2 linked regions of the Oreochromis niloticus genome follow. The protein of the gene in region 1 purifies or fractionates together with the protein of each later gene. This does not show direct contact. Links are inferred from orthologs where the notes say so. Each region holds a gene or a part of one and is shown in the gene's direction. Other genes may lie near its edges.

Evidence for each region.
Region 2: the proteins of cdk20 (region 1) and fkbp8 purify together in Homo sapiens (affinity purification with mass spectrometry; 5 studies listed by BioGRID and IntAct, with this or other methods). This does not show direct contact. The link is inferred for Oreochromis niloticus from reciprocal best matches to the Homo sapiens genes CDK20 and FKBP8.

Annotation. Positions count from the first base shown.
Region 1 is NC_031984.2:4,339,589-4,351,539, reverse strand, and holds cdk20 (cyclin-dependent kinase 20), read left to right. Parts: upstream 1-6,409; 5' UTR 6,410-7,052; coding exon 7,053-7,127; intron 7,128-7,274; coding exon 7,275-7,388; intron 7,389-7,985; coding exon 7,986-8,174; intron 8,175-8,453; coding exon 8,454-8,575; intron 8,576-9,188; coding exon 9,189-9,251; intron 9,252-9,860; coding exon 9,861-9,984; intron 9,985-10,747; coding exon 10,748-10,903; intron 10,904-11,101; coding exon 11,102-11,293; 3' UTR 11,294-11,699; downstream 11,700-11,951. Other genes in the region: protein UXT, read right to left, coding at 1,570-1,632, 1,977-2,040, 2,615-2,722, 2,907-2,974, 4,050-4,131, 5,580-5,677. UniProt on the Homo sapiens protein: Required for high-level Shh responses in the developing neural tube.
Region 2 is NC_031986.2:34,620,638-34,633,154, reverse strand, and holds the start of fkbp8 (peptidyl-prolyl cis-trans isomerase FKBP8), read left to right. Parts: upstream 1-6,983; 5' UTR 6,984-7,156; intron 7,157-7,217; exon of another isoform or gene 7,218-7,436; intron 7,437-7,707; 5' UTR 7,708-7,719; coding exon 7,720-7,963; intron 7,964-8,090; coding exon 8,091-8,260; intron 8,261-8,374; coding exon 8,375-8,463; intron 8,464-11,163; coding exon 11,164-11,384; intron 11,385-11,584; coding exon 11,585-11,757; intron 11,758-11,842; coding exon 11,843-11,920; intron 11,921-12,517. Other genes in the region: ssbp4 (single-stranded DNA-binding protein 4), read left to right, coding at 1,116-1,186, 1,408-1,486, 1,830-1,858, 1,945-2,046, 3,251-3,280. UniProt on the Homo sapiens protein: Constitutively inactive PPiase, which becomes active when bound to calmodulin and calcium. Seems to act as a chaperone for BCL2, targets it to the mitochondria and modulates its phosphorylation state.

The DNA of each region.
Region 1 (11,951 bases):
ACATATTTATAAAAAAAGCAGAAACAATTAAAAAGTACTAACATAGAGAAAATTGTACTACATTTGTACTAACAATAAGAAAATAAGACAAATATGGACAAATGTTCAGCGAAATAAATATTTCAAAATATTAAAATAACTGAAACGTGTTTTGGAAGCTTATTAGGCCATAAAATGAATAAACACCATTTAAAAATATTATTGAAAGAATTACTGACATGTAAAAAGCTTATCATGAGTAATAATGTACAAAGAAATAGTACAAAAAGCTCAAAGTGGTTAGAGCCAGAGAAGTGTGGCAGTACAGAGATCCAAATATGGCCAAAGCTGAGCGTGAAGTGGGGACAGGGAGGAGGCGGGGGGGGGGCAGAGGAGGATGTTTAAGCAGCAGACTGCAGCAGGTGGGAGTGATGACAACAGCCAGTGCTGGTCTAGGAGCCTCTTCAGCTTCCTGCCGTGACATCATCAAAGAGAAAGACATGTTGCTTAGTGCAGAAAGAGGTGAGAACAGCAGTCGTGGAGGTCGATGGTTAGGAATGAGGCAGCAGGGTCAAAGAGAACATGAACTTGGACCGAACTGTGGAAACCAGAGACACACCATGTTTGGTAAAGGGGAGTCACCGGCCCCACTCCTGGAGGACGACTGACCGCCGTAGAAGAGGCCGGCTGTCAGCAAGCTGAACGGAGAGCAAAGTGTCTCCCAGTGGAGGCCGGATGAGGAGGTGTTGTGTCCAAAGCCTTCGACTTGTTGGTCTTTAAAGAGAAGATTAAGGAAAACAGACATCTGTATTTCCAGTGAAACAGCTGAGAAAACTTCAAGATGGCTCAAGAGAGAACCAGGGGAGGAGAGTACCCACCCGTTAATGTGGACCCATCCTGGTGTCGGATCAGCCTCAGCAGGGTTTCCAGGAGGAGGCTGGATGATGCTGAAAGTCCTGAAACACCTGAATAAACACATCATTCTCAAAGAAATTTAGAATACAGCTAGTCAGGAAAAAAAAAAGTTAAATCCTCAATAAAGATTCAGTAAAACATCCAAAGAATTTCTATGAAAACCCAGGAAACACCTTGAGCACAGGTCCAACAAACCAAAGGAAGGAAAGCTGTCCGGATCATTTTCACAAAACAATTTATTTAAACCTCCAAACAGTGAAAACTCACTTCCTGTCACATTATTTTCAACCTATGAGATCAGGTTTGTTTGAACCTGAATTTGTCACATTGACTGAAAGTGTCTGTTTAGACGCTGCAGGAGTATCTCTGAGCAGCTCCTTCTTCACTGTGACACTGAAGAAAACAAAAAAACAGGAATATTCTCTGATTTTCAACAGACGAGTTTCACAAAGACACAAAGTCACGTCGAGAGTACGTGTTTCATGACTGTGAGTTTTGACTCGGAGAAGGCTCAGGCACTAATCCTCCTCTTCAGCTCTGTGAGGACTTGTTGGGATTCAGGCTTTAGTCCTGAAGTCTTTCCTTCTCCTCGAGCCTGTTTTCTCAAAACACACCGTTGACATCAGCAGCCGGCTTTCGTTAACCCGTCCTCTGCAGCTGGTCAGGTGGGAAAGTCTAGAAAACGTCTCCTCTTCTGCTCTCTGGCAGGTCGCCCAGGCCCTGCAGCTCCCTCAAACCCTGAGTAGGGAAACATGAAGAAGCCAATCAGATTCTCTACCTGCTTCTTTAACATCTGGTCATTAATCAGATCAATCTGACTATTTTAACCCTTTTGTCACCAGTAAATACTGAAAAACAGTGTTTTAACTGAACATATTCAAATCTGATCTTGATGTATTTCATTAGATGGGTAAAACTTTTTACTTCTAGTTCAATGTTCAAACTTCATTGACTGTAAAATCCTCAGAAATGAGTAACAAGTTATTTAGTACTTAAGTATAAGCCAGAGGAAAACTCCTGCACCCAACAGAAACTATTATTATATAAAAACTGTCCTATAATCCACCTGAGAAGAAACTGACCTCCAGCACCATGCGGATATGGGCTTTTATTTTGGCAGAGTCTTTTGTGAGCTGCTCCGTGAAGCTGTAACACAAACACAGGGTTAGCATGGCAAAAAGTGACAGTGCTAACAAAGAGCTAACATGAGCTAGCTAATAGACATTGGTATGCAACAACAAATCGTAAAAAATAATCAATCATAATAATAATAAAAAAAAGAAAATATAAAATAAAAAATATTAGTAATATATTATTAATAGAGAAATTAGTAATAATTCCAATAATTCTAAATTCTAAATAAACAAATAAAAATTAATTTTAAAGTACAATAAAAACAGGAAATTGTCAGAAAAAAATAATAATACAACAAAAATATCAATGTTTTAAAATGGAAAATTTAAGTGTGAAAAAAATACTTGAGAAATATCTAAAGATAAAATTAATAATAAAATCATAAATATTGAGAAAACCCACCAAAAATATCTAAAAACAAAATCAGGACATTTCAAAATAAATAGTTCTAACATATTTTTTTCAAATAATTTCACAACAAAGTGAAATTCTGAGCTCATTTGAAAAATGTCTGAAACATAATTACATTTTTATGCTTTTTCTCCTACTTTTAATCTTAATAGTGTTACAGTGACAATGAACTCACGCTGTGAGCTGACTCGTCTTCTTCTCGATGAACCTCAGAGCCTCGTCGTGAGTCATCTCCACAAAGAAACCGTAACCGACGGCCACAAACATCCTGGATGAGTCCTCACTGATGGAGGAGAAGGAAAAGAGAACTGAGTTTAAACAGGAACTGAAATCCTTTTGGAAACACAGAGCACGGATGCTCTAGCCTCTCTGGAGTCTCGCAGCACACTTCATTAGCCTAAACGCAGCATTTTTGCCTGTTCGAATGCAGAACAGCTGCTGGTGACCTTCGTGTGTCAGCAACTCACACTTCAGCCTGAACGTAGAAGTTACAGCCAAGATCAACGTCTGTCTTCAGCTGCTGAGAGCCCGCCTCCTGCAGGAACACAAAGAAGCGTGTGACTTTCATTCACTCGTGGAACAGGCGGCCCAAGCTCAGAGAAAAAAATACTCCATCTCAGTGTCTACAGGCCTCAGACAGCATGTTAGAGGTTAACGTTCATGACATGACAGTTAGAAAAGAGACTGAATGAGTTTGGCTTGTTTGGCGGGGTTTCCACAGAAAAATATATCAGTGAATATGTAAGAAGCTCGGAAAGAAAAGTGACTGAAGACGTTTCATCCGGAAAGATTCTTCAGTTCTAAGACCAAATGTTGGACAGTTCAAAGTATTAAATCACATGAGCCAAGGTGTGTGATGGGGCACATGATTAATAGTCGGGTCAACGACCCTCTTATGGGACAACTCCCACTAGGACTTAAAGACCTGGGACTCTTCACCGTTTAGTTTTAGAACTGAAGAAGCTTCTTGGATGAAACGTCTTCAAGAAACTTAAAGAAGTCGAGTCGCTTTTCTTTCCAAGCTCCTTAGATTACCATGACCTGGATGACTGAAAACCTACACAGACATCAATGATTATGAGAGTGATTTAAAAAAATATCTGAAAACTAAAATAAAAACGTCCATCCTCTAAATAAAATAAAAACAAATAAAAAATTATTTTTTTAAATATCTGAAAAGTGGAGGTAAAATGTCTGAATGTTTTGATTTTCCAGCTGTAGTTTCAGGCTCTTTGATCCAGACGATGGAGGTTTGGGTTCACAGCTCTCGGCCTAATGAGCCACATGTATTGATCTGCTGGATAAACAGCTGCAGTGAGGCTCAGCTGTATTGATGGAGGTCCGATAAGCTCCACCATCTTTCCTCACAGAAGAGTGTGCTGAATTACAGAAACAGCTCACACAGAGAAGCTACAGAGAGAGATGTCTGTATTGGCAGAGCTCAGTCTGCAGCTCATTAACCAGCAGACAGAAGCATTTAACATTAACAGAGAATGACAGCCAGCACAAACACTACAACGATCTCCAGTTTGATGTGGAAATCTCTTCTTTTCTAAACTGAAAAACCTACAGATCTTCAAAATAACACAGTACATTTTGTGTGCGTTTACCTGCAGACTCTGTATGGTGTTCTTCAGCTGCAGGTACTGAGAGATCTTCTCATAAACCTGATCCCTCTGCTCCACCACCTTCCTGCCAAACGACAGCCGTCACTTGATTTACAGAGAACATTAACGCCTTCAGATGCACCAAAATAATTCAAACAGCCTAAACACGCCAAGAAAATCTGATTCAAAGCACCAAACAGCATTTCAGACACCTGAACTCTTTAGTCTGTGTCACTGAACACTCAGATGCCAACCTGAAGAACCACATAAATACCTGTAAGATTAGATCTACCCTTCTTATCCATCACACATGTGTACTTATAATAGATTCAAGCTCATTATTGTATCCTTTCTATATAACTGAGCTCCTTCTTAGGTGTAGTTTTTAGATTTTTGCACCATTTTGTTCTGTAACTGTACAAAGTAATTTCTGTATTTCTTTTCTTACACCCTAATAAAATTGTCAGTGTTCACATTAAACACAACCAGTCGGGTCTGTGCATGTACAAGTAACCCATGTGAACCAAAGGCTAACGCCTTAGATTGCTCTAAATACTTTTTCAAGTCTTGAATCTGTATGATGTCATTGAGAGGAGATATCCCTATTATAGCCCACCCACCCGCTGTCTGGGGAGCTAAACCAGTCATGTCATAGGCAAAAAAGAATTATTTTGAACTATGAATCATGCAAAGCTACTCTAGTGTCATAGTGTTCAAGAAAAACAATATAAAGCTGTAAATTAACAAAACTGATCCACTTTAAATAAGATGGTCTGAGGCTGCTTCTAATGGAGCTGTGAAGGAGCTTGTTGACCCAATTGCCAAGTGTACTCCACAGTTTTCCTAAACAGCTTGTGTCCCTGGATGTGCTTCGCACTCTGTTAGCTCATGCTGAGCTCTGCTCTGCAGTACTGGCTGCAGAATGTGAAGCAGTAAGAGGTTTCCTCTTAGTGTGGTCAAAACGCTCCAGTTCTGTCTGGTTTGTTGCCCCAGTTGTTGCAGTGCTGGCACAGCAGTGACATGTATAACAATCCCACTGTATTAAAAACACATTGCACGCAAAGGCTGTCTTGACAACGTCTACATGCCTAAATGAATTGAGTTGCTGCTACATGAATCGCTGATAAGATATTTGGGTTGAGCAGGTATTCCTAAAAAAGCAACTTGTGAGTGTAAATATTTAATAATCAGTCTGCAAGTAATTAAGGCACGGAGGGGGACCAAAATGACACCAGCACTATTATACAATCAGCAGCTGTGAGACTTGACCTTTATTAGGCTGTTAATTAAGCTTTAAATGACTTTAATTTGTAGTCACTCCTCATTGACCTTCATATCGCCTCTACTACCTGTTCAAAGTCTGCCTGGATAAAAATCTGAGTTCATAAACTCATATCTACACAAGTATTTTGCACTACTTTAACTACAGATTACATTTCTTTTACTTTAGTTTTTAAAGTTCTGTAACTGAATAAAGCTCTCTGTAAGGACATAATAAACTGTGTTCAGACATCAGCTGTAGTGTCTTCTTACTGTAAGTCTCTCTTCAGGACTTCGTTGATGAAGGTTTCATACTGCAGGACCTTCTGGTCCACGTTAGGTCTAGCTGTGGCATTGTCGGGAGCAGACATTTCTTCACTGTCTTCTCTTTAAAAGAAGCTACAAATAACAGAAAAAACATTCGGTTGAGCTGCGGATAAAGTCCAGCTGCGAACTGCCCGATCTCTCTGTCGTAAACTTTAATGTTTCTGCACACCAAACTCTCCGGCTAGCATGCCTAAGACAGGACGTAAACACGCCACTCTACACCGGATGAGAAGAAAGTGTGAACAAGTACTTCCGGGTTTCAAAATGAACCCAAAGAATAGATTTAGTGAAAACAGAAAAGACGAAACGACAGCAACGCTGCAAAAGCTTGTCAATTAATGATAGCATAAACTCGGAAACTCTAAAAAAAATTTCTTACTTTATTTTTTAATATAGTAGAATAGAAGGCCTTTTTCGTTATGTAGAATACCAGTACGGAGTGAATTATTTTTATTCTTTATCCTGCTGCTGTAAAACAAACATTTCCCAATTGGATTCAGAAAAGTCTGTCTGTCGGTCAGGGAAATTTGAAGCATTTTCCTGAGCAGATTATAAATTTTAGACACATCAAGTACATCTCTATGCAGTTCAAAAGACTTGCTTTATAAACCAAAAAATAAACTAAATTGCTTTTTAATCATTAATCGAATCAAATGTTCAAGTCAAATTGTTAAGTTTGTACGTTAAAAAATGAAACAGCAAACAAGAACAAAAAAAGAATCAAAAATAAAATAAAACAAAATAAAACGTTGATTCTGGTTAATGCTTTCTACCTGCTCTGGCTCTATGGAGGTCCTGTCTCATGACGTCACTGTAAACAAACATGGCAGACCACGGGCGGCTCTGTAGCTAGCTACTGTAACACGAAACAATTATTAAAACGTCCTGAATGAAAATGCGTATTAAAAAAATTAAATATCGTCGTTTTTGTAGTTTCTTTCTTAACAAGCGTGCGTGTCAAGCCGGCAGCAGAAGTTAAACAGTAACAGGTTTTAAAATTTTAGCTGGGTTATCTGAGTTAAGACGTTGCCAAGGCAACGTTAGCCAACAGCTAGCTGTCTCGCTTCCCGTGGTCAGGATTTATTTTCTGAGAGACTTTTCTTTACAGCTGTTTGTTGTTGCATATGTAATATAAGCCGAATTTAAGTTAACGGTTTAAAGTTTTACTGGGCTTAAAATAATAGTTTAATAACTGTATCTTATTGAGCAATCGTGCGCAGCATCGTGAACGGCTTAATTTTTGAGTGAAGTTCGAGGTTTGCGTTCCTCTCTCTGGTTTGCTGTTCCAAGGAGCTGATTTGTATATCATTGGGGGTTTACTTCAAACCACACACTCTTTGAATTAACAAAAACATCAGTGAGAGTTGTGACCAGATTAAATCCAGATTAACTGAAGCTGTTTTAAACGCTCATGAAAACATGGAGCAGTATAACATTCTGGGTCGGACAGGAGAAGGAGCTCATGGCATAGTCTTCAAGGCCAAACATATTGAGGTGACGGACTGGTGCTTTTATGTCTGCATCTTACTTCATTTCTTTTTTTTTTCTTTTTTTCTTTTTTTTGTAATCCGATCAGCATTAAATTTGGGGTCTAACCTCAGCGGCTTAGATATGTGACATGGAAATGTTCTTGTGTGTCAGACAGGGGAGACGGTGGCTCTGAAGAAAGTGGCTCTGAGGAGGCTGGAAGACGGCATTCCGAACCAGGCTCTAAGGGAGATTAAAGCACTGCAGGAGATCAAGGACAACGAGCATGTGAGTGAATGTGCAGACAGTTTTTACAGATAAGAGTCATTTTAATCTTAAAATTTGATTAGTGTTTAGCAGCACGGTGGTGCGGTGGGTAGCACTGCTGCCTCACAGCAAGAAGGTCCTGAGTATGAGTTCGACTCCCTTCTGTGTGGAGTTTGCGTGTTCTCCCTGGGTTCTCTCCGGGTACACTGGCTTCCTCCCACAGTCCAGAGACATGCAGTTAGTGGGGTTAGGTTAATTGGTTATTCTAAATTGCCCATAGGTGTGAATGTGAGTACAAATAGTTGTATGTCTCTATGTGTTAGCCCTGCAACAGACTGCCCACCTGTCCAGGGTGTACCCTGCCTCTTGCCCTATGGTAGCTGGGATATGCTCCAGCTCCCCTGGTGGCTGGGGGGATGTCACAAACAAAATATAACAGAAACCAAAAATTAGTACATGGAAAACATAGACGATCAAAGCAGAGCAGCAAGAAAAGAGCCAAGCATAACAGACATGTTAATAAAAAGGAGATTAGGCTATATGAGAAAATTATAAGAAGCTGCAGAGTGTCTGGAGTCTGAAGGGATGCAGGACTTCTTTCTGTGACTTTCTCCTCAGGTGGTGAAGCTGAAGGACGTCTTTCCTCACGGCACGGGCTTCGTCCTGGTGTTCGACTTCATGCTGTCTGACCTCTCTGAGGTCATAAGGAATTCCCAGCGCCCTCTGACCCCTGCGCAGGTCAAAAGTTACATGATGATGTTGCTGAAGGGCGTGGCCTTCCTGCATCACAACAATGTCATGCACCGGGTGAGCGCAGCTAACAGTTATTATCATTAATGAGTCATCTGACTGTTTTCTCAGTGAATCCTGTGTTTGTAACAAGCAACACTTAAGCATACAAGGTTATTTAAATACTGTTGGTTATTCATAATAAATGAAAAGCTGAAAATATGGGAAATGCTAAAAAACTGAATAGTTGCTGCAGTCTGAGGTGTTGCAGGAGGAGGTGAGAAGGTGGTGTTCGGGTTTCTTTTCTTTAACAAAATAAATCAAACCAATTATAAAATGACGTTTGTGTGTTTGCAGGACCTGAAACCAGCAAACCTGCTCATCAGCTCCTCAGGCCACCTGAAGATTGCAGACTTTGGTCTGGCCCGGCTGTTCAGCGAGCAGGGAGAGAGGCTGTACAGCCACCAGGTGGCCACCAGGTAAATAGGATAAGATGAGATTAAATAAGAAATACTTTATTTAGCAGGTAGCTTTAGCTAATCAAAATAAAATACAGTATGACTTACCAAAAGAACTCAGTGAGGTAAAAAACACGAAGAGCAAAATGCTCATTTAAATAGAAAAATGACAGTAAAATGAAAGATCTCAAGTGAAAATTTAAATGCAATATAATGAACCTAAAAGTAAGTACTTTTGTATATAAAATGCAGTAATGCAGTATCTGAATGGCTGAATGTAATACAGAAAATGGCTCTATAAAGTAAGCACAAGCACAGCATTAGCTTTAGTGCTGCTGGGAAAAATCCATGTGGTGACATGGAAAATGCAGTCAGTTGATACTTTAAATATTCACTCAGACTTGCTTTAAAGCTCAACTGGTGAACAAATGTGTCACAGAACAGATTCACATATTCAGATTTGAGGTGCTCATTACACCAGTAAATAATAATCATGTTAAAGTCGCCATGTCATGTGACTTGTTGGTTCAGTTCATTCTAAAATAATCACCACTTTCAACTGGATATTACTGATACTTTATCAGTAATGTGCAGTAAATGCACTGAGCTACATTTGACCACTGTGTGTGTTTAGATGGTACAGAGCCCCTGAGCTGCTGTACGGAGCCCGAAAGTACGACGAGGGAGTCGACCTGTGGTGAGTACAACCCTGAAAACGCTGCTAAAAGTAGCGCCCACACTATTATTTTTTTGCTGTTGTTCGATCATTATAGCTTACATTACATTATATACATTTACGTTACATAGTACTTGTTTAACCTGGCATTCGAGGCTAATTAGTGTGATTTTCATCTGGCTCTGCATTTATATTATGTCATTATTTTATATCTGTAATTTATATTTTATATTGTGATTTTATCTGTATCATGGTTTTACTGGAAAGCACTTTGGTCTTTAAATGTGCTGTACAAATAAATTTGATTTGATTATCTACTGTGAATCCTCTGCTGATTAGCTTTTACTCAATAAACCTAGATGCTTTTGTTTCTGTTGTGCCTGCTTGTATTCTTTTCCTGTATCAGCATATTTTATTATATATTACTCTTTAACATACTATGTAACATGGGACCATATAATAAGAAAGAGTAAGCTTGTAGCTTCAGTACACGCTAACTCTGTTAGTGTTCACAGTTCCTGCTCAGGTGTAAATTGGTCCAGTGATCAGAGATGAACAGCAGGGGGCAGCAGCAGTCTGAAGTCATGGCTTACTGTTTAGTCCGTGTGTGCGCTTGTGTGTGTGTTTCAGGGCGGTCGGCTGTATTTTTGGGGAGCTGTTGAACTCGTCTCCTCTGTTTCCTGGAGAGAACGACATCGAGCAGCTCTGCTGTGTCCTCAGAGTGCTGGGAACCCCGACTCAGGACAGCTGGCCTGTAAGATACACACTGGTTTTTCCATCACTTCAGGGGACGTTACATTAATATACATTCATTTTCTTCTCGATCTTTTTTTGTATTAGGTTAAGTATTAAGCTTTATATCAAAGTATCATCTCACACATTCTGTCTTTTATATAAAAGACATATCGTGAAAATGTAAACACAATGAGGATGTAAAATAAACTGGAACACTGCCTAATTTCCACATGTATTCACTCAGTGTATTCACACTGTGGTAGTGTTTACTCTTTCATCTTTGGACATAGTGCATATAAATGTCCGCCCACATCCACGTTCATTAACTTTAAATGTGCTAAAAAGACGCAATGTGTTATTTTTTAAAATAATGTTTTTCAGTGCATAGTCAACATCATAATCATCATCAGTATATTATTATATGTGATAGGCCTGCAATCATCTGCCTGAAATATTGGTTGGCCTCCGTTTAGCTTTATTTAAAATGTTTAAATGTTTTTAGACTAGCAGTAAATGATGATGAATATGTAGAGAAATTAAATCGGACCTAAAACTGATCCTTGTGGCACTCCAAACCAAACTGATAAAAGAAACTGTGTGTGTTTACTCTAAAAACCTACAACTGTTTGAAGTCTGGCGACATCTTTGTGGTCTGTGTGAGATTTTATCTGAAGGCTAAGGTAAAATAATTCACTCTGCGAAGTTTAATTTTGTCTTGTTTTTTTCTTCTATGGCTGTGAAACTGGTTAAAACATTTTAATCCCTCTCCTGTCTGTCTCCAGGAGATAGTGGAGTTGCCAGATTACAATAAAATCACCTTTAAGGAGAATCCAGCAATCCCATTGGAGGAAATCGTCCCTGACATGCCCCCTCAGGCAGTGGACCTGCTCTATAAGTTCCTGGTGTATCCATCTAAACAGCGCTGCTCAGCCAGACAGGTAAGAAACCTGAAGCAGACCTTAAGTTCAAAGGTGGAGTTCCTCAGGGCTCGGTCAGAGGTCCTCTCATTTTTACATAAAGAATCATTTCTTGGAACGTAGCCATTATATTCTCCCATTCACCCATTATCACTCAGATAAAGTTTAATAAACTGATTATTGATCAGTGCTCTGCCTGTCCTCTCCTCCTTACTGCAGGCTCTCCTCCATCCATATTTCTTTACTTCGCCAATTCCTGCTCACCACTCAGAGCTGCCCATCCCTGAAAGGGGAGGGCGACCCCCCCGCCAACGCTTCCAGGCTCCGCCCACTGACTTCTCAGTGGACCTACCCTTGCAGAACAGTGTGGTAGACCCTGCCCTAATACAGGGATATGCTTCCTGCCTCTGAACTGACCGCTGATCTTTACCATCTCTAAGCTGCTCTTATACCAGTTAATCTTGTTTTATTTATTTATTTATTATCTGGTTTACTGAACGCTCTGCTATAGACTGAATTCACATTGTTTTATGAATTTCAGCTCACACAGAAGATTTCTGATGGTCTTTCCTGAGCCTGAACCTCTTCCGTAACCACCTGTAACCGTGAGAAAATCACCTAATACAGTTACGTTTCCACACACTGAATTTATTGGACTAAAAGGAATTTATTTAATTTGATTTTTAGCTCCACCGGGTCTCCATTTGGCAAAAGGATGAAATAATTTAAAAACACAAAATCAAGCAGGTTTCTGTTCTGTTTATGAAACATGTTGTGAGTTTTATTTAAAGTCATTAATAAAGTAAAGTGTGGAGAAGTTGGGTTGATTCCTGAACATTTTTTTCCTTTAAATATGTCATTTCTGAGAATTAATCTTGAAAATAATGATGTGTTTTCAGCAAGAGCTGTGTGCCTGAGACGACCATATCAAGGAATGTACTCAGTGGCATCATACTGAACCAAGGGTAAAAAAAACTGACTGAAACGGAGCGTAAGAGCAGATTGAACCTGTGGATTAGTGATTATTTGTACACACACTGACATCAGTACTGTGTGTGGCGATGTTTAA
Region 2 (12,517 bases), on another chromosome or scaffold:
AGATCGGGCTCTAAATATGTGAAGAATTGAGCCTTTAGGAGGAGTTTTAAGTGTAAAACACTGAAAAATGGAAAAAAATATATATTGCACTGAATGTGCTTTTGTGTGGAACTCTCAAATGTGATGTTCATGAAAAATCCTTTGTCACACTTTTTTTTTTAACTTAAGGCATAGAGTGAAAAATACTTGAGTGGAAGTAGAGGCTTACAATCAACTGACTAATCCCTTTCAGGTCTGACCCATCAATAAGGTGTCTCTGTGAAGGATTGACTGCAAACAAAACGCCGCGGGCGGTCGTCCTGTAGATGTTCTGTTTCTGATGGCCCGTGAAAAGCTTCTTTTTGTGTTATATGCACGCCGCTATTGTGATATGTTGCGGGGCAGCCCTTTGCAGTCCTGCTCGCACCTACACTGAGAAGGAAAACATATTCCACTGCAGTCACACACACACAAAAGTGCTCACCTCACTCTGGAATTAGCCCCCTTTCTCCAGTCACGACAACAAAAGCCGCATTCAGGAACGCTAATGGGCAAGATTTCTCTACCCCATGTGCCGTGCATGCGCTCTGTCCATCTCTGCTCCTCGTCTTTCAGCTCATCATTCATCTTTCTCGTGCTTTTCTCAGTTATCTGCTCACAAATTTCTACCTGCAATGTCAGATCAAGGTCACCTCACTCCTCTGAATCTTTTAAGAACAGACCGACTCGCACGCGAGGAGCGACACAGCGTGTACTGGTTGATGCCAAGTTGCCAGGGTGTCCGTATAACAACTGATCTCCTTGTTACAGGAATAAGATGGGTTTCTTTGACTGTGCGTTGCAGAGAGCAGCGAGTGCATTGACTGGCAGAAAGAGGAACTGATGTTTTTTCTATTTCTTCTTCGGTGGTGGTCTTTGTCCTGTACTGTAGCAGAAACTATTACACCAATGGTAAACTTGGTGCTGCCTATGTCTCTTCAGTTTTCCCCATTCTTTACCTCAAGGACCAAAACTTCTTTATATAATTTTTCATGGATTTTGCATATAAAAAGAGGCAGTTTACCTGTAAGTGCTTCCCAGGCTGGGAGGAGTGAAGCACAGTGAGCCTAAACATCCACCTGCTCTTCTGTTCGTAGATTCAACAAATTCAAGCGAAAACATCTACACAATGATGAACCCCATCGGCCCTGGTGGTAATAGACCTAATGTATGTATTGACGTTTGGCTCAGTTTTCATATATTTATTTATTTTCTTTTTTATAAACCACTCAGCTAACATGTTGTGTTCCCCAAGCTGCAAAAATACTGAGAGACAGTACCTTATTTAGCTGTAGCCGTTTTGTCTTAAAATCCTCTGATGGTAATTTTTGATCTATTATATTGGACTATAGAAATAAAAATGACTGACGTGCCTGTTTTTTGTTTTAGTTCCCAATGGGACCAGGTCCCGATGGGCCCATGGGTGGAATGGGTGCTATGGATCAGCATCATATGAATGGATCACTAGGTGCGTACCTAAAGATGTGGTACAGTAAGCTATGAGCCCATACACTGAATCATATGACACTCAAAAGCTTTTACAAGGTGGACTCTGCCCTCTAATGGTAGATCGAGGAAGTGTCCTCTCAGTATTGAGCAAAGGGAAAATTGATTAGCGGGGCAGTGAGTTAGGCCAATTGATCCTGTTGATGTATGAGACATGATTGGTGAAGCCAGCTGAGTTAGTGCTCATCTGTATGTGTAACAAATAGCTTAATTAAAAGCCATTAGTTGTTTAAGTGCAAGCAATTTCTGCTAGCTCTGGATATCCTGCACTGACACTGTTTATCTTTTTCCTTTTCTAATCACAGGCTCTGGTGACATGGATGGGTTGCCAAAGGTAGGTCTGTCCGTGCCTGCGTGTCTCTCTTTGTCCGTCTGTATGAGTTCTTTATTCTCATTGGTGCGTTTCGTCCACGTTTGTAGAATTCTCCCAACAATATGGCAGGCATGAACAATCCTCCCGGCACTCCGCGGGATGACGGCGAGATGGCAGGCAACTTTTTAAACCCATTCCAAAGTGAAAGTGTGAGTACCGTGTCGTACGACACAAAAAAAAAACCCTCAAAGTGTTTGACACAGATTCCCGCCGGCATGAGACTCACTCACCCCCTCTACGTTAGATGATCGTAGCTGCCAGTTGTCCACGGCGACCTGGGGGATGGTTTTCTAAAGACAAATATAGATGGAGGTCTGAAGTGATCCATTTTAGAAAGCTGGCGAGTCCCTCACTGTCTCAGACAGGACTCATTTACCACCAGACTGAAGTGAGATGTTTTTCAAATTAAAGACATGACAGTCATGTGAAACTGCTTTCGCTCCAGAACATCATTATGTTAACAGACTGAGAGCTTTGAAGATGTTTTACTATGAAAACTCAGGGTGGAGAGTGTAACAGCACAAAAATCTTCTGTCAGCGTGAAATCTCACCTCGGTGCAGATATGTGACTGAGCTGAGAGCTGTGATTTTTAAATATGGAGGGCCTCAGTGTTACTACAAGCTTAGACTGGAGTTAGTTGGCTTATTTTTGTTAACGTTAAGAGACGGAACGATGAAAACCTTTCATTTCCTTATTGCTCAGTTCACATCTGTGTTCAGCGACACAGATGATCCATATCCTGCTGCTGGTGTTTGTTAGTTTTATTAGTTTTATTGTATTTTTACTGATCCGTGCATGTTAATCACAGTCTCCTGTGAACTTGTGAGTTAGCTGTCAGGAAACCTTGTAGTGCTGCCTTGCTTTACAATGATAAGAGCTAAATTAACACTGAGCTGAAGTGTTTTGCACACAAAAGTCTCCCCGGTTTGGAAATCTGCCCTCTGCACAGTCCTTCGTGTCACGCCCCGTGTTCCCAGCTTTGTCCGACTCCCTCGCAGAAACACAGCATGCACACACACAAGCATGGACAAAAACACACATCATACCTTCTCTGGTGCATGGAGCCATTGCCGTAGCGTGATTAATGTCAGACTGTACCGTCACTGTGATCTGAAATTCCCTCACATTTTCTCTCTGGGCTGGGCTTCGCTCTGCTTGCTGAGTTTACTGACATACAGAATAAACTAGAAAGAGCTTTGTGTGTACTGTTTGCTGCTGAAGGCTGGTGGACTTGACATGGCATTTAGTTTAAGTAGCTGAACTGCTTTTATATTAAACTGGATAGTGGAACAAGTTAAATATAGTATTGGCTTATCTTTTCTCCCTTGCTCTCTTTTTTTCTCTCTTTACAGTATTCACCCAACATGACGATGAGTGTGTGATTTTTTTTTTTTTTTAATCTTTTATTTTATTTTACTTTTTCATCTCCCTTTATCTCAACCTCCCTTTCCCGTCCACCCTGATGCGTCTTGCATTACCCTCCTCCTCTTCCTCCTATTCGTGGATGGTGTGCTGTGCCACACAGCCCCTGGGGATTCCCCTGGAAAGCAGGATTCCCCTCAAGGCCCCCCATCCCACCAACACCTCCAAACTAGGTGTAAGAACATGAAAAGGCCTCCGAGCAGCAGGAAGGATCTCGTCTTCGCCCCATCGAGGGTCCGAGCGCCGCGAGACCCCGAACCTGCCCCAAGCCTGTCTTTCTCGAACCTGAAATCTGCCTTTGTGGGTGACGTCCAGGCCCAATCGAGACGCCCCTCCGCATTCAGCTCCGCCCCGCCGTCACCCTGTTCTCACATCAAGCTGATTAAAACTGACGAGGGCGCGCAGCAGTCCTCCGACCCGGGGCCAAGAGCCCTCATTTTAAAAGCTCTGCTCCTGTGACAGGATTGGTTAAAAAAGATGAACTGATGATGTCATTTTGGGGCGTGAACGGTTTTCATTCAGTGTTTGTATTTTTTGTTGTTGCTGATATTATTGTTCTAATTTTCATAATTGATATCGTTTGACTAATGTAGTTATGATTTCCTGTAAAGGGCACATTTTCTCTCAGCAGCAGCGTCGACGGTGACAGAATAAGCACACGCTCGTAAAATGCACAATGATTTTCTGTTTATGTGATTTGATTTGTTGTTTGTCTCGTTTCTGCCACCGTCAGCCTCGCGTCACAAAACTCCTTTAGTGTTTGCCTCCTAAATGTGTTCCCCAAACTTCACGGGAAGAGTATCTGGGTAACCGAGGTGGGTTTTCAGGTACAGTGTGTCTGTAGATGCACCTGACGATCACACGTCTAACTGTACTGTCTTAAAAAGTAACCCTTCTCCTAGCTTCCTGCTCTTTTGCTGGTAGAAAATGGCTCCGATGACACCCTGACGTGATTGTCAGGATTGTCAGGTGCCATTTTTAATTCAGAAATTTTGTGAATCCACTCGTCTCCTCTACGGATTGGGTCTTTTCTTTAAATGTAACATATTTAGCTTGTACTGTGTTTTCTTTTCTTTCTTTTTTTTAATTATTTGTTATTTACAAGTCGTCTGTGACTCCTGGAACGTGTTTCCTTACCCTTCATCCTCTTGCTTTGTTTGATTTCACTGCTTTTATGGACTCCAAGTGGCCCCTTTTTCCTCCCAGGATTCATTCTGGTCCATCCAGCGACTCCTTTTGGGCTGGAAGCAAATGTGGGAGACACTCGTTTGGGTTGAAATCACAAATCCTGCTGGGTCCACCTTCTTAACTGTGGGTTAAATACCTGCCTCTGTGGAGTTCCCATCAGAGAGTCCCATATGCGCGGGATAATGGACCCGGGTGAGCGGCAGTGGGAGCGCTGATGATGGGAGCAGAGTTGATTGTAAACCATCTAAAGAAGAGGATTACCTGCAATCAATAAGTTTCTATTTTTTTTTTAATTTCAATTGTATGGAATTGATTAAAAAAATAAAGCCCATAGAATCTGCACACAGACATGTCACAGTCACACAGTACGCTATTTAATTTGTTTCTGATGAACGCTCGCTGTCACCGGTTCAGAGGGTAAACTGTTTCTTTCAGTTGCTTCGCAGCTGTTTTCAAACCAACAATAACTGAGCAACCAGCGTTGCCTCTATGGGTGGTGGTGATGTACTTATCGATTTCCTGATATCAATGTGAACAGTTTGTACGCAGCGTTAAACAGGGACATCTCCAGGGTCTGGGCATCGGTGGCCTGGGGATCACTCAGTCCGGTGTTCCTCCTATGTAGTGACACACGCCTCCCCCACCCCTCCCCCTCCTTCCACACCCCTCACCCTTTGATTTCCCTTTTTGTAAATACTGTATAATGCATTTTGATATCATTGACATGTTTTGATATGTCAGTCACTACCAATGAATACAGCTGAAAGTAAATTATAAATAGATCTGTCCATGTTTTTCATAGTGAAAGGATGCACTATTTGGCTCATGTGGCTAAATTTCTAGAATACAGTAAATATGGCTAAATGTATAGAATACATTGACACACTTAATGCAGACCGTACGCTAAAGGCGTGCGTGGCGGGGAGGACGGGACAGAGAGGAGCAAAGAGCCGCGGCGTCCTCGCTCTGCCCTCCACTCCTCGTGTTTCGGTTTTGAAAAATCATGTGAATAGTTTTTCCAGAAAAACGACAAAAAAGGGCATCTTCTCACAAAAAAAAACATGTGACCTCATATTGCAGTTTTTAATATGAAGGATTTTTATCAATTTAAGAAACTTTTAAAAAGGAAAAAATACTTAAGGAAACCTCATTTTAAATTAAGAAGATCAAAATGTAATACTTATGGGGAAAACTGTGTCCTTTGCTATTCGCTCCTGTAATAGCGTTGTATAGTTTGAAGCTCTCTCACTGATCCTCTCTCAGTCCTCTGTGTATATCGATCGTCGGCCATCTCTGTACTTCTATTGTGATGTATAATACTGTACCATTAGGAAGATTTGCTGGTCGGGCGGGGGGGTTGTATTGAGACGGGGAGGGGTGGGGAATCGGGGTAAGGGCGTATAACGATTCTCCTGTACCGTTCACGGTCCTTTCTGATGACACGGCAGTATTCAATATGAAGCAGTCTGTCTCTTGGGTTTGCTTTGTATTTCATGGTAGGATAGTTCAGAATCTTGTCTTAGGGACTTAGGTGTCTTGTGTAGGTAATAAAGATGTTCTTTGTATGTTTCTTTATATTGTAAAGTTTCTTTAGACTGAAAGAAAAACAGATAATTTGCTTATCAAAAAAGAAACAATGCATCAATAATAAATGTCATTTGATTTTTCCTTGTTGTTTGACTCTCTCTCCCTCTTAGCGCTCATTTAACTCATCTTCCATATAGTCTCGGGCAATCGCTCTTGAGTCATCCCTCGTTTCTTCATATTTTGCTTCCAAAGAGCTGGGCTTATCATTGTTTTGCAAGTGCGCTTGGGCAATAGTCCTGCGGGCTTTCTGAAGAATTTTCTACGTTTTTCTTTTGACATTGTCTGCACAGATGATTCATTCAAGAGAATCCAGGCTGTGCTGAAGAATATAGGTGGTCACACCAGATACTTTAAAGCCTCTTCTGTACTGTATTTCCATCTGTTTTCTACATGTTTTAATAAGGTGCTGCAGTTATTTCCCATTAACCAAGCCCAAGGAGTGACTCAAGACTTTTGCTTGTTCGTGATGATGTTAATCAGTAAAAACATATTTCCACTGGAAACATATTTTTCCTGGAAAACTTTACATCAGCATTGTTTATTTGTGTTTGGATGAAACACATGTCTAGCCATGGTGAATATGTAAATCACAGTTTTAAAATCATTTTTCAGAATAAATCAAAACATTAGAGAGCTGCACACAAAGTCTTCATGTGTAAATTCACCCCTTAAATCACTGATACAAACTGTTTGTTTGTTTTTTTAATTTAATACATTTTGAGTGTTCTTAGCTTTCAGTGTGCTCATCGGTGTTTTAAACTAGCAAAAATAAGTCATTTTATATCATTACAAATAGCAGCTGCAGGCGTACATGGCTGCCTCTGAGGTAAATTATGAATAAGCATGAAACATCCAATAAACGTGCAGGGTCTCAAGGTTAACAGGAAGCAGCCTGCTTGGGGCTGTTAACAGATCGTGGCGAAGTCAGGTTGATATTGGCATGCAGCGACACATCCAGGTCTCACTGGCTTCATGTTCTCCGACAGCAACCTAACTTCAGCACTGCGAGCTAAAGGAGACTGCTCAGAACCAAAACACGGCTCTTCACAGACAATTTCGGGGTAAGCATCCGGTTATTTTGATACAGGCTTTTTATTATAAAATCCCTAACTCTGACTCACTCCACCGGGGATCGGTATAAGCAGTGATAAACACTCAGAGACAGTAAAAAAATTGCTAATTTAATGCTGACAACTAGCAGCTAGCTAGCTGTACATCCTCGGCTAACGTGTGCTAGCAGCAGCCTGCCATCCGTGTGGGAACACATGACAGCAGGGCAACTTGTTAGAAACTTCTGGAAACGTCTGGTGGGCTTTCTTGCTGTAGAACAACAGTTAACAGGTAATGTTGAGGTGAAATCGCATCACGTCACGCCAAAATCGATTAATAATCCTGATCGATTCAGAGCGAAAGCAGGTTTTATTTCAGTGCTGTTAGCCTGTAACAAGCTCAGTGGTGCGTGACTGACAGGGGATCTTTAAACACTGTTTTGAGCTTTAATTTGAATTGGACTCCGTGTTTTGGAAGGGCACACGCATTAAGAGTTAAGCAAAGGATCATTTTTGACGTTGTCTCCCGTCTTTTTTTTTTTTCTTTTTTTTTTTTTTACCAGAGGGGTCTGCTAATGACTGACAGAGAGGAGATTATGGAGTCGGATAGCCACGATAATGCGCAATCAGCAAAGAAGAACAGCAAAACGTCGCTGCTGGACAGCGGAGAAGACTTCGAAGTTTTAGATGAGGAAGACATTGACGACGACGAGCCGCCTCCTCTGGAAGATGTCGGGGAAGGGAAGGTGCAACCCACAAATCCAGAAAATACAAACCCCGACCCTACAGGTCAAGTCGATGAATGGCTGGATGTTTTGGGTATGTAGGACCCATGATGTGCTCCACAGCAGTGTAGGCTGTGCTGCACTTTGCTTGATTAGTGATGGGCATTGAGCCTGATATGGACAGTGGTCAGTGTTGTACATGTGACTGTGTCTGATTCCAGGTAACGGGCAGTTGAAGAAAAAAGTCCTGAAGGAAGGCGAAGGGCGAGACAGTCGACCACAGAAAGGACAGAATGTGAAAATCCGTCTTAAAACGAGCCTGGTGGACGGGACTGTCGTAGAGGAGAAGCCTGATCTTGCTTTCACTTTGGGAGATGGTGATGTAATCCAGGTAAAGACCTGTTAGATTAGTTTATTAATGCTCTTTGCGGAAGTTTGTGTGCAGAGTTTGCACACTTCATGTGTGATTCCTTAATTTTCTGAAGAGAGCTTTTCTTCTTTTCAGGCACTGGATCTGACAGTCCAGCTCATGGCGATGGGAGAGGAGGCACTCATCCAGACTGATGCCAAATATGCATATGGTGCCAGAGGAAGGTAAGGAAGTGTTTGAGGCTGTTTTTCCATGTTGTTATTTTTTGTATTCAAGTTTAATAATGGCCCTCTCACAATGCTAATTCATTTAAAAGTGGGTTTCAGTTCTCTGTCTTGTCCACTTACCTAATGAAGCTTTAGTGACTTTCTGATCACACTTTGGAGAGCACAGGTCTTGGCTTGTGCCACTGTTTCTCACAGTAGTTTCTAGAGTTAAGTGTGGGTTATCGTGGCCGATAAGGCTGTATCGGCACATAGCTAATATTAGCCGATCTGTTGGCGTGGTTCTAGTTAGAGGTTACAAAATGGTTTATCATGAGCTTTATCTTAACCAATTAAAACAGAAGAATCCTTCTACAGCGATGCATAACAATAATAATCTCATGTTGGTTTAATATTATAACAGGAACAGGGAAAACCCAACAATCAAACAACAAAAATCAAAAAGTAATTACCCCCTAAACCTGATAACTGGCTTTTCCACCACCAGGCATTTGTGATGCCTTCAGTGAGTCTTTCACATCACTGTGGAGGAACTTAAGCCCACTCTTCTTTGCAGAAATGCTTTAATTCAGACACACTGGAGGGTTTTCCAGCATGAACGCCTGTTTAAGATCACGCTGAAGCAGCTCAGTCCAGACTTTGACTCGGACACTCCAAAACATTCATTTAGTCTTTCTGAGCCAATCAGAGGTGGACTTGCTGCTGTGTATGGATCATTGCTCTGCTCCCTGATTTCGCTTGAGCTTTGGGACATGAAGTGATTTGCGGACATCCTCCTTCCGGTATGGAGCAGAATTCATTGTTCCCTCAGTTACAGCGAGTCGTCCTGGAGCAGCAGAGCCGCCCAGACCATCACACTACCAGCACTGTGTCCACCTGCTGCTGGGATGTTCTCTTTATGAAACGCTGTTAGTCTGATGCAGATGTAACAGGACTCAAACCTTCCAGAAAGTTCATCTTCTGTCTCATCAGTCAGAAGATTTTCCCAGGAGTCTCTGGGGTCATCCTGCTGTTTGTTGGCAGATGTGAGATGAGCCTTTGTGATCTTCTTGGTCAGCAGTGGTGTTCTCCTTAGGCTCTCCCACTGAGGCCATTTTTGCCCAGTCTCTTTCTTATGATTGAGTCATGACCTCTGACCTTAACAAAGCCAGACGAGGCCTGCAGGTCATCAGATATTGTTCTGGTTCTTCTGTGACCTCCTGGGTGAATTTTGGTGGGCCGGTCACTCCTGTGAAGGTTCAGCACTGTTCCCAGTTTCTCATGTGCGGATAATGGATCTCACTGTGGTTCACTGGAGTCCCAGAGCCTCAGAAATGTCCCTGTAATCTTTTCCAGACTGATGGATGTCAGTGATTTTGTTTCTCAGCTGTTTCTTTAGATCTTTTAGCCTGCGTCACTTTGTCAGACAGCTTCTATTTAAGTGATTCAGCAGGACTGACAGCGATCAGGCCACAGTTCATTTATCATTTAACAAGGGGAACGGTTACTTTTTTTACACAGGGCAGGTAGGTTTAGATAGATTTTTTTTCCCTTAATAAATGATGACTTAATTTATTATTTGATTCTTTGTCGAATATGAAAATTAGTTTAATCTGAAACATGGAAGAGTGACAGATATGCAAATAATAATATATTGGGAAGGGGGAAATACTCTTTTCATGGCACTGCACACCCCGTCATTCCCCACAGAGCTGCCGAGTCACACTGGTTTGTGCGGCTCTCATCTTTCTGATTTTTGTTTATATCGCCCATCTCGAGAGAGAGACAGAGAGGCGCTGTTGCCTGCCCAGTAGCTGGTGCCATCTCAAAGAAACGCTTTATTGATGCTGCGCATTCATTAAACCTGAGAGTATTTTTAGACTCGCGAACGCAGCAGTGTTTAATCGTCTGACTATGGATGTATCTAATTACTGTTTGTAAACTTTAATGTAATGTTTTCAATCGCTGCAGAATACTTTTATATAAGAAAACGTAGTAATATCACAATGTAAAAAGTACTTTTACTTGAATGAAAATGCTCTTCCACACTTGTGTGTGTTTAATAAAAGAGAGTGAGTGAGAAGAGTGATGCTGTACCCGTCACTGCTGGTCTTCAGTTCATAAAGAAGTCCATGTTTTTATTTCAGAAGATTTCTAGGTTGTTTTTTTGTTTTGTTGTTTTCATTTGATTATGTGCATATTCGATGCAGTCCTACATTGTGACCATGATCAAGTTCCTAACTTTCATATGAGCTGAAAATTGAAGGAAAGCCGTAGTGCTCCTCTGCACTGCAGGTTTTTTCTCTTTTCATTATGTAGAAAAGTGCAGTAGTTTCTTTCCTCGGACCAAACTACCCTTCATTCAGCAGTTTTAATATTGCTGCCAGAGGCTGCTGTTCTGTGGAGATTTTTTATTTTTTAAGCATCTTTTTAGAAATGTAAGTGATCCATCATCAGGACGCCTAAAGAAATTCATCTCCAAACGCTGAAGCAAACCTGGACGGCTCTGTACACAGGTTAAGCTAATCTCTAATGCAGATTTTAAAAAACCACATACAAGCACTACATTTTAAAAAGCTAAACCTACTTTTTACTGTACGAAAAATGGTTTTCCGTTCTCTGCGGGGACACGTGACAGGTCCTGTTTTCTGTGTAATCCAGTGATTGTTGTCTCTTACTCTCTTAAACTCTGCCTCTGATTGTTTGTCTTTCCCTTTCTAGTCTTGAACCTGCAGTTCCTGCAAATGCTGAGCTGTCCCTAGAAGTGAAACTGCTGGAAGCTACAGATGCTCCAGACCTGGAGCTGCTGCCCCCTGCAGAGAAGATTGCCCTGGCCAGCCAAAAGAGAGAGCGGGGCAATGCCCATTATCAGCGCGGAGACTACGCCTTTGCTGTCAATTCGTATAGCATTGCCCTGCAGATAACGGAGTCTAGTTCTAAAGGTGAGCTCTGCCGATGCTCACGTTGACGATGCATTCCTGTAAATTTATATTTGGCCGTTGTAGTGAAAAGACATCATTGGCTTAACCAATGTTCCTCTAATGTAATGACGCACCATTTCAATAATAACTTGTACTGTTCTCTTTTTTTTTTTTTTTTTTTTTTTTTTTTTAAACTTCTTCTTCTTTTGTTCCTGCTGTAGTTGACATCACCCCCGAGGAGGAAGAGGGGCTCTTGGATGTGAAAGTGAAGTGTCTAAACAACATGGCTGCTTCTCAGCTGAAACTGGACCACTATGATGCAGCGCTGAAGTCCTGCGTGTCAGCACTCCAACACCAGCCAGACAACATAAAGGCACTTTTCCGCATGGGCAAGGTGCACGTAGCTCTCGTGCTTTCAGTTTCCTTCTGTCAGTAAACTAGTTGGTTCTCTTATTTACGGGTACCTGTCTTTGATTTAGGTACTGGCCTTGCAAGGTGAATACACAGAAGCCATCCAGACTCTAAGGAAGGCACTTAAACTGGAACCAAGCAACAAGGTATATTTGGCCATCCATCCATTCTCTTTCTCTTATCTTTATCAGGGTCCTGCAGGCGGTTGGGTGGGCGCTATCCCAGCTACATGAGGGGAAAGAGGTGGGGTAGACGGGTCGCCAGTCTGTCGCAGGCCTAACATGCAGAGAGACGAGCGTTCACACCCACATTTACATCTATGGGCAGTTCAGCATCACCAGTTACTTTGGACTGTGGGAGGAAGCCGGAGTACCCGGAGAGAACCCAAACGCAAACTCCACACAGAAAGACCACAAGCTCCAACTCGGGCAACTGTGCTAATCACCGCTGCCCCTACTTTTGGACTCATGTGATTAAATGTTGGCTACATCTTGTGGTGTTGAGAAATAACAGTGTGTTCCTATGGCCAGCAGATGGGGCTATAGGGTAAACTATCTCTGTATTTGTAGAGCCAATTGATCAATTTAAGGGGTCCGTCTCCAGATTGTTGCTGTGAATAGGTTCTACTCAAGCCACATCCAGCACATAAACACTGTTTCTGTTCTGCTTATACAACTGGGTATACGTGGTTCTTTGGCTACGCGAGGCCGTTTGACGAAACTCGTCTAAACGTGTGGGCTTCT